2 linked regions of the Daphnia pulex genome follow. The protein of the gene in region 1 purifies or fractionates together with the protein of each later gene. This does not show direct contact. Links are inferred from orthologs where the notes say so. Each region holds a gene or a part of one and is shown on either strand. Other genes may lie near its edges. The genes, in order: ragulator complex protein LAMTOR2-like and sodium-coupled neutral amino acid transporter 9-like.

What was found.
Region 2: the proteins of ragulator complex protein LAMTOR2-like (region 1) and sodium-coupled neutral amino acid transporter 9-like purify together in Homo sapiens (co-immunoprecipitation; 5 studies listed by BioGRID and IntAct, with this or other methods). This does not show direct contact. The link is inferred for Daphnia pulex from reciprocal best matches to the Homo sapiens genes LAMTOR2 and SLC38A9.

What each region holds. Positions count from the first base shown.
Region 1 is NC_060023.1:11,050,373-11,053,299, forward strand, and holds ragulator complex protein LAMTOR2-like, read left to right. Parts: upstream 1-1,417; 5' UTR 1,418-1,529; coding exon 1,530-1,597; intron 1,598-1,676; coding exon 1,677-1,712; intron 1,713-1,779; coding exon 1,780-1,906; intron 1,907-1,965; coding exon 1,966-2,112; 3' UTR 2,113-2,209; downstream 2,210-2,927. Other genes in the region: uracil-DNA glycosylase-like, read right to left, coding at 15-193, 291-379, 442-484, 558-708, 782-970, 1,033-1,161; BTB/POZ domain-containing protein KCTD5-like, read right to left, coding at 2,316-2,345, 2,405-2,524, 2,592-2,888. UniProt on the Homo sapiens protein: As part of the Ragulator complex it is involved in amino acid sensing and activation of mTORC1, a signaling complex promoting cell growth in response to growth factors, energy levels, and amino acids.
Region 2 is NC_060019.1:7,949,971-7,954,499, reverse strand, and holds sodium-coupled neutral amino acid transporter 9-like, read left to right. Parts: upstream 1-1,585; 5' UTR 1,586-1,727; coding exon 1,728-1,810; intron 1,811-1,884; coding exon 1,885-2,104; intron 2,105-2,216; coding exon 2,217-2,311; intron 2,312-2,397; coding exon 2,398-2,555; intron 2,556-2,616; coding exon 2,617-2,784; intron 2,785-2,868; coding exon 2,869-2,937; intron 2,938-3,003; coding exon 3,004-3,407; intron 3,408-3,474; coding exon 3,475-3,579; intron 3,580-3,649; coding exon 3,650-3,888; intron 3,889-3,963; coding exon 3,964-4,141; 3' UTR 4,142-4,200; downstream 4,201-4,529. Other genes in the region: dynein axonemal intermediate chain 3-like, read right to left, coding at 4,219-4,413, 4,469-4,529.

The sequences.
Region 1 (2,927 bases):
AATGAATTGGTTACCTTGTCTACTACTAAAGCTTTCTTCTGGGCATATGCACCCCAAAGAAGGAAGACAACACCTTGGCAGTTACTGCTAATCCACTGGATCACGGCATCCGTCAGAGTTTCCCAGCCTTTGTCTTTGTGCGAATTTGCTGCGCCCGATCGGACCGTTAAGCCAGCGTTAAGAAGGAGCACACCTAAATATGTGAAATATCAATATAACAATTTTACGTGACTCTTATTTGAAGATTAAGACAAACGTTAAACTGTGATTGATTTTGTTTAAATGTCTACCTTGTTTGGCCCATCCAGTGAGATTACCATGTTTAGGAATATTAAAACCATCAATATCTGAAGCCAGCTCTTTAAAGATGTTTACCAAACTTCAAATAGTTTTGCAAAAATTAGACACAGTAGTTTTTAAAGTAAAAATTTTAAATATTACCTTGGGGGAGGAGGAACTCCTTTCAAAACACTGAAACACAAACCTTTTTATGAAACAAAAATGTAATGTCAATTCTTTATCTTAAAAGCCATAAAAGTAATTATTTTTTACTATACCATGAGCTTGACCAGGACCGTGATATGGATCTTGACCAATAATAACAACTTTGATATTTTGAATATCACAGAAATGGGTCCAAGACCACACAAGATGTTCTGGAGGGAAAATGGTGGACTTTGATCTTTCAGAACCCAGAAATTTACTAAGCTAAAAACAAAATAATGTAGGTAAATGAAAATAATTGTTATTCAAAGTTAAAAAAAAAGAAACATGTACATACTTCACCAAAGTAGGGTTTCTTAAACTCTGGCTCAATTGCTTGAAACCATGAATGACCAATACTATGGTGTAAGGCACAAGTATTCTTCGCTTGCAATTTTATTTTCGCTAACAAGTGGTTAGTGCCCATTCTTTCTTTTTTTTCAGGAGTAACTACTTCAGTCTTCTCACCAGATTTTTCTCCAACAGGCTAAAAATGAATAGACTTTACAAAAAATACCAGGCATGTATACACAGAACAAAAAAACCTACTTTGTTTTCAATTTGAACATTCTTGGCTTCAGCTGTCTTATTGCCAGACACAAGTTCTGAGAATGTACGCTTCACACCTCCACTTTGAAGAGGTTTAAAAAAATGAGTCAAAGGTTTTTGAGGCGGCATGATTTCTGACTTCAAGAAGCAACTTTAGTTCATTGTAATCATGATTGTAATTAAACACCAAAGTCAAAATAATCGGGCGCGAAATTCACCTTTGGACCAATCTGAAATGAATACATTAAGGCCACCTACAGCAGAAGAATTTGACAAGATTGAGTGAGAAAAAATTCCCTGGTCAACGGAAGGGGCGCTGCCGCTGCCGCTGCCTGAAGAAGAGATTGTCAGCCTGGCCTGGTTATGTAGGAAACATCCGCATTCATTTGTTTTTTTTTTTTTTAGTAAGAGACTAAGAGGAGTAGTGAACACTGAACAGCTGTACTCAGCCCTGACTCAGCTTGTGTCAAAACAGAAGATACCAACAAATCTAAAGAATGTTAAAACCAAAAGCTCTTACTCAAGTCTTGTCTCAAGCAAACACTGGCGGAATCTTAAGCACTTTGTAATATGGCGTGATACCTTAAAATAGTTAACGATTGTTAGTTATTTTTATTTATTTATTATCTTAATTTGTTATGCAGGCTTTTAAATACGGAGGGGGCGTTGCTAGCTTACAGGTGAGCAAAATGTGTTAAAATGTTTTACATTTGTTTATAGTGTTTAAACAATTTTGTGGCTTTCAAGTGGTTATGGGGACAAGGATGCACGAGTGACAGCAGCGATAGCTAGCAACATTTGGTCAGCATATGCTAAAAATGGGAAAGTTGCCTTCAATGAAGATGTCCTGGAATGTGTTCTTCTTGATTGCATGGTATTATTCAATTTAAAGTTTAGTAAACACAAATATTAATTTTGCCAATGCCTTTAAAGGATGGGAAAGTGGTGATTGCCCAAGTTGCTAATTTACTTCTATGTCTCTATGCTAAAGAAAATGTGTGTTTTGGAATGCTTCATGCTAAAGCAAAGGCATTGGCAGACTATCTTGATTCTCCTCTTCGTCAAGTAGCAGCATCATGAACATTTTTTTATAATACAAATTTGGATCTCCTAAAATTTAATGAAGCTGTGAAGCAGAGTTGTATTGCACTTGTGAATAAAAAGCAACACTTGTGAACAAGAAGTGTCAAAATGGCTGCAACGTGGATAAAATCCCACAAGGCTGGTTCTCTGCATAAATTTAGTTCAGTATTTGGTTCCTGGTACAAAAATCCCATAGCTTATTACATTCTTAACCCTTTCTGCTGAAGCACCTAAATAAAGAAACAACATTTTTAAATGCTTCCATCAATAGTAAATTGCAGATACTTACTTTGGCTCTATCAGTAGGCTCTGTTTCTCTTTCTCTCTTGTCACACTCTCTTGATACAACACACAGGAATTCTGAATGGTCTTCATTCCCATAAGAGTACTGTGACCCAACATTTATTAGCTATATAAAAAAAAGATTAGAATAAATAGTCTGTAGTAACTAATAAGATTGTCTTGTGTGTACACACCTGCTCAAATTTCCATCCATCAGACATAGTTGAAACCATTTGAGTTAATTCATCCTCATGACACTGTAATACACGGTAAACTTGCTTCCTACTTTCCTTCTGTGGTACCTCATCTCTTAGTCTTATTTTATCTCTAATTAACTGGATGAGTTCAGTAATATTATAGAATTCAGCTTCCTCTAGGATTCCTTCTTCAGCCAAGTTTTTATCAATAACTAGTTTGCTATGTCTCAAGAAGTTTAATATTGGTGAAAAATAAGTAGGGTCCCGATCAATCATGAAGGCACCTGTTTCATCCTAGTTTAAAATAAAGAGCATAATTTTCAAGTTAAAATT
Region 2 (4,529 bases), on another chromosome or scaffold:
TTTTCTTCTGGTGGACTCGATGACCTTATTAGTGTTGCAGCCCTTACCATTATCCTCTTGTTAATCATTGTCAAAACCCTACCCGACCATCGACTTTACGACATTTCTGACCTTTAGGCCAACGACTCTCTTGTCCTTCCCTTATTTAGAAATGTGTAATGAAATCCGTTCCTCACAGTCCCTTATCTTGCTCCTCTAGGGTTTAACTAACATTCTTATTTCTTAAGGTCCGTGATCACTTCTCAGTTTGTCCTACATCTAGCGCAGTCATCGACGAATTCGGTACGCACAAAGCGGTCTACAAGAAAAAGTCCTGCATAACCGTAAATTGCATTTTTATATTTAAATAGTCAAAATTATTAAAATTTATGTAGTATTAGTTGAACTTAATTTAAAATAAGAAAATTATTATTTTGCTAACTGACAGATTTAACTGAGACAATGGTGTCTTCACTATGCATTTTCATTCTTTTGATTACTCTGTGGATGGTGTCGTATCCGGTTGAGGCCATTGATTGTTGCGAACCGCAATCCAGCGGCAACTGTTGGGATGAAACTCCGGGGGATCCTTGTTGTGGCTCCAGTGATTGTGACCAATTTTGCTGCAATTGCCGTGGAGGTTGTCGTGATTGGACGGTCCGAAAATCTAACGGAGAGCAGGAAACAACCCTTACGCAAAATATCTTTTTTAGATAATAGATAATGATAAGATTAAAAGTATCGATTTGGCCAACATTATTACCACATTTTAAAAAAATGTATCCCCATTCTTGTTTGTTCAGTAGACGCTTTTACTTGAATCATTGCTTGTTAACTTATTTAATACTAAATATATGATTCACCACGATTAACTGCATGTGACCGTATTTGTATTAAAAAGATGATAATGAGGCCTATGGGGCTCTTCGGGATCTGTTTTATTTAGCCGATTTATCTGGCAACGCAGCATGGCGCCAGTCTTTTTTGAGGGAAGAACGGGGAGAAGAGGGAGAATGGGAGGACGCCCTCCTCCCTCCCACTCGTCCCATTCTCCCTCTTCTCCCCGTTCTTCCCTCAAAAAAGACTGGCGCCATGCTGCGTTGCCAGATAAATCGGCTAAATAAAACAGATCCCGAAGAGCCCCATATACTGTTAATGGCGCACTTTCCATTATCATATCAACATCTGTTCTAAGACGGATCATTTGTTTTCTGACTAAAGCAAGTTAATCACGGCACGTGACGCAAGAAATCGAGAGTCTGGCATTATATTGAAAGCTGATGAAATGCATGTTGTATGCAACAAATTCCAATAACATATAAGAAAACGAGATGAAATTTTAATCCGCCCCATAGTTCTGTCACTTTGCGCTCGGTCATTGACCTACTAACTACTAGTACGTCTTTTTTTAAAAACCTTTTTTAAAAATACACCCAAAAAACAACACAGAAATTTTGTTGACAACTTTTTTGGAGGTCAAATTAAAATATAAAATACGATAAAATTATGTCTAGGTTTAACAAAGAAAAGATTTTGAGAATTGTTTTGTATTGTTGCATTCCAACGGACTAGCCGGTGCGATAAGGCTTCAGAAGGCTTCACATGTTTTGTAGACATCCGTCTGCTTGCTTGTCAAAGTTCTATGGGTCTCACGAAAACAAGTTCCTTCAAACTAGTCTTTGTTTACTTACCCGACCCATCGGTTGGCAACGAAGTTATCAGAATTAGTTCTATAATTAATTTAAACAATGAACAGAGATGTGGACGTCATATTACCAGATTCAGACGTAGCTAGTGAGGTGACACTAGATTCATCATCAGATCTTGGCAGGTAATAAAATGAATTTCTCGTTGCATATAATCAAATGTCGGCTAATTGGCAATTGCTTGTGTTTTAACCACCAGATCTTCGCCAACGTTAAGAGGAATACGAGTTCGGGATGCCAATTCAAAACAACGAACGAGACGTCCATTCCACTTACAGAGTACCATTGCAGCAAATCGTGCTGAATCCCCTGTCTTGATTGATGCTGTACCATACGATAATGCTCAGGAAGCTACTTACTCACGCTATAAATACTACCAGAGATTAAGAGGACCCACCATTGGAAATGATCAAGCATTGGTACAAACATTAGGTCTTTTTACATGAGACAAATAAGAGTTGCTGTCTCATGGTAGTATCTAGTTGGTTTTAGGATAATTCCTTTGATGGTTGTCAAAATTATTTTGTTTAGTTGATACCTGATCATGTTGTGCCATCCATCTTTTTCTACCCATACATTCCTGGCACAGTTCCTTTAACTGGCAAACAAAGCAGTTTAATAACTATGTAACTAAATCATTTTCCAACTTTTATTTTTTTATACAAGATAAAGCTTGTAATCAACATTCAATTCTTTTTTTAAATTTTTGTAGATTTGCAGTTTGGAACACAATGATGGGTACGTCGTTACTCTCAATGCCATGGGCTGTTGAGCAAGCAGGACTGGTAGCTGGATTGTCACTGATCCTTGTCATGGCAGCCATCTGCTTTTACACTGCCTTTTGTATCCTTCAAGTTTACGGCATCTACGGTATATTACTTTCGGTCATGGTATCTTTGAATGACGTAATTCAGTTTGGTTTTTATTGCAGGTGAGAAGGAAAATCTTGCGGACTTTCCAGATCTCTGCATGTTCCTGCTGGGGCGTGTCGGTCAATGGGTTTCCGTTCTCTTTTCGGCACTTTCATTACTTGGGGCAAGTGCGGTGTACTGGGTTCTCATGTCCAACTTCCTCTATCATACGGTCAAATACGTGTATGGTAAAGAACTTCAATTTTATACGATCTAAAATTTTGAACGGTCGAAAAAATCTTCAAAAATATATCATTTGTTTAATCAAACAGATCTGATTACGACGACGACGTCTGTTACCCTGTTGTCCGTGGACGATGACAATACTTCGGCGTTTAATCGTGAGTTTCAATAGGTTATGTTTATTTGTTCTTTTATTTACATTTTTTTTTTTTTACATTTAACAGTGTTTTGTCCGGATCCGATCGATAATCTGACTTTCTCGTCACTCCTGAATGGACCGATATTCCAGAATGGAGCTTCTACCTTTGACAAAATTTGGAATTTGGATCTGACTGTTCCTATTTACATGGCTCTCCTATTGCTGCCCCTAATCTGCCTAAAGTCAGCCACCTTTTTCACCAAGTTTAATGCACTGGGCACAGTCTCGGTATTCTACATCATGGCATTCGTTGTCACCAAAGCGTCCCAATGGGGAGTGCACGTCGAATTTAGCGACACTACTTCACCCTTCTACGTGCCTTTGTTGCGCTCCAACTTTCCGGCTTTGTCGGGCATGTTGTCCTTGGCGCTGTACTTGCACAATTGCGTCGTGAGCATCATGAAGAACAATCGGCGCCAAGAGTGCAACGTAATTTTTACATTTCTCTTTCTCATTTTGGCCTTACATTGAATAAAATTTTTCTTTTGTGTTTTAGGGCCGTGATTTGAGTATCGCCTACACCCTGGTAGCGCTGACTTATTTAGGTATCGGAGCAACTTTCTACCTCACATTTCCCCTCGAGAAGGATTGCATCGAAGACGTAATTGAAAATGATTCGTTCATTAAGATTTCGAGGAATTAATTTAATTTTTTTCTTTTGGGCTTTCTAGAATTTGTTGAACAATTTTTCGCGTTCGGATACGCTAACCGTTATAGCTCGCGTCTTTTTGCTCTTTCAAATGATGACGGTCTTTCCGTTACTCGCTTACATCCTGAGAACGCAGATTCTGTACGCTTTCTTTAATTCCATTTATCCCAGCTTTAACCACGTATTTTCTCTCAACGTGATATTGCTGTCCGTCTGCGTTGTATTCGCCATCTTCTTGCCGCAGGTCGGCACCATAACAAGGTACGCAAGTCGAATGAATTGATAACCGGGTTTCCCATCGCCGTGCTAATTGGTCGTTTATATTTACTCATCCAGATTCTCCGGCGCTTTGTGTGGTTTGGTCTACGTCTTCACACTACCCAGTATATTGTACGTCGTGTCTTACAGGAAGCAGAATAACGGCCGAGCTCCGGCATGGGTGTATATTGTGCACGGTTTTATTATGTTGTGTGGTCTACTAAATTTAATTGCCCAATTTGTCGTCACCAATTGATGGCCGCTACGCTTAGACAGGTCGGTTCCGATTTCAATATATAACGTTCTCGTATCGTTTATTTTTCACGTTCTCTTTCAAACATCACCGACATCTTTGAGAATCTTTTTCTCGAGAATCTTGAAATCTTCCATGTACGCCTCGCGATTGCTGTAGATTAATGGGGATTCAGGCAGGTGGAGCTGTGGGGCAACTGGGGCGGGTTGCAACATTTGGGCCATGGACAAACGGTGATGTACTTCACTATCCATAAATTTCTCAACTCTTGTGAGCTAATTTAAAAAGTAGAACAGTCACAGATTTGTTTTTAAATTAATTAAATTTTACCTCTCTGACTCCTGGACACAAACTTTTGGTGAAAAAAGGCAGTAAGGTAATTTTGCCCGTT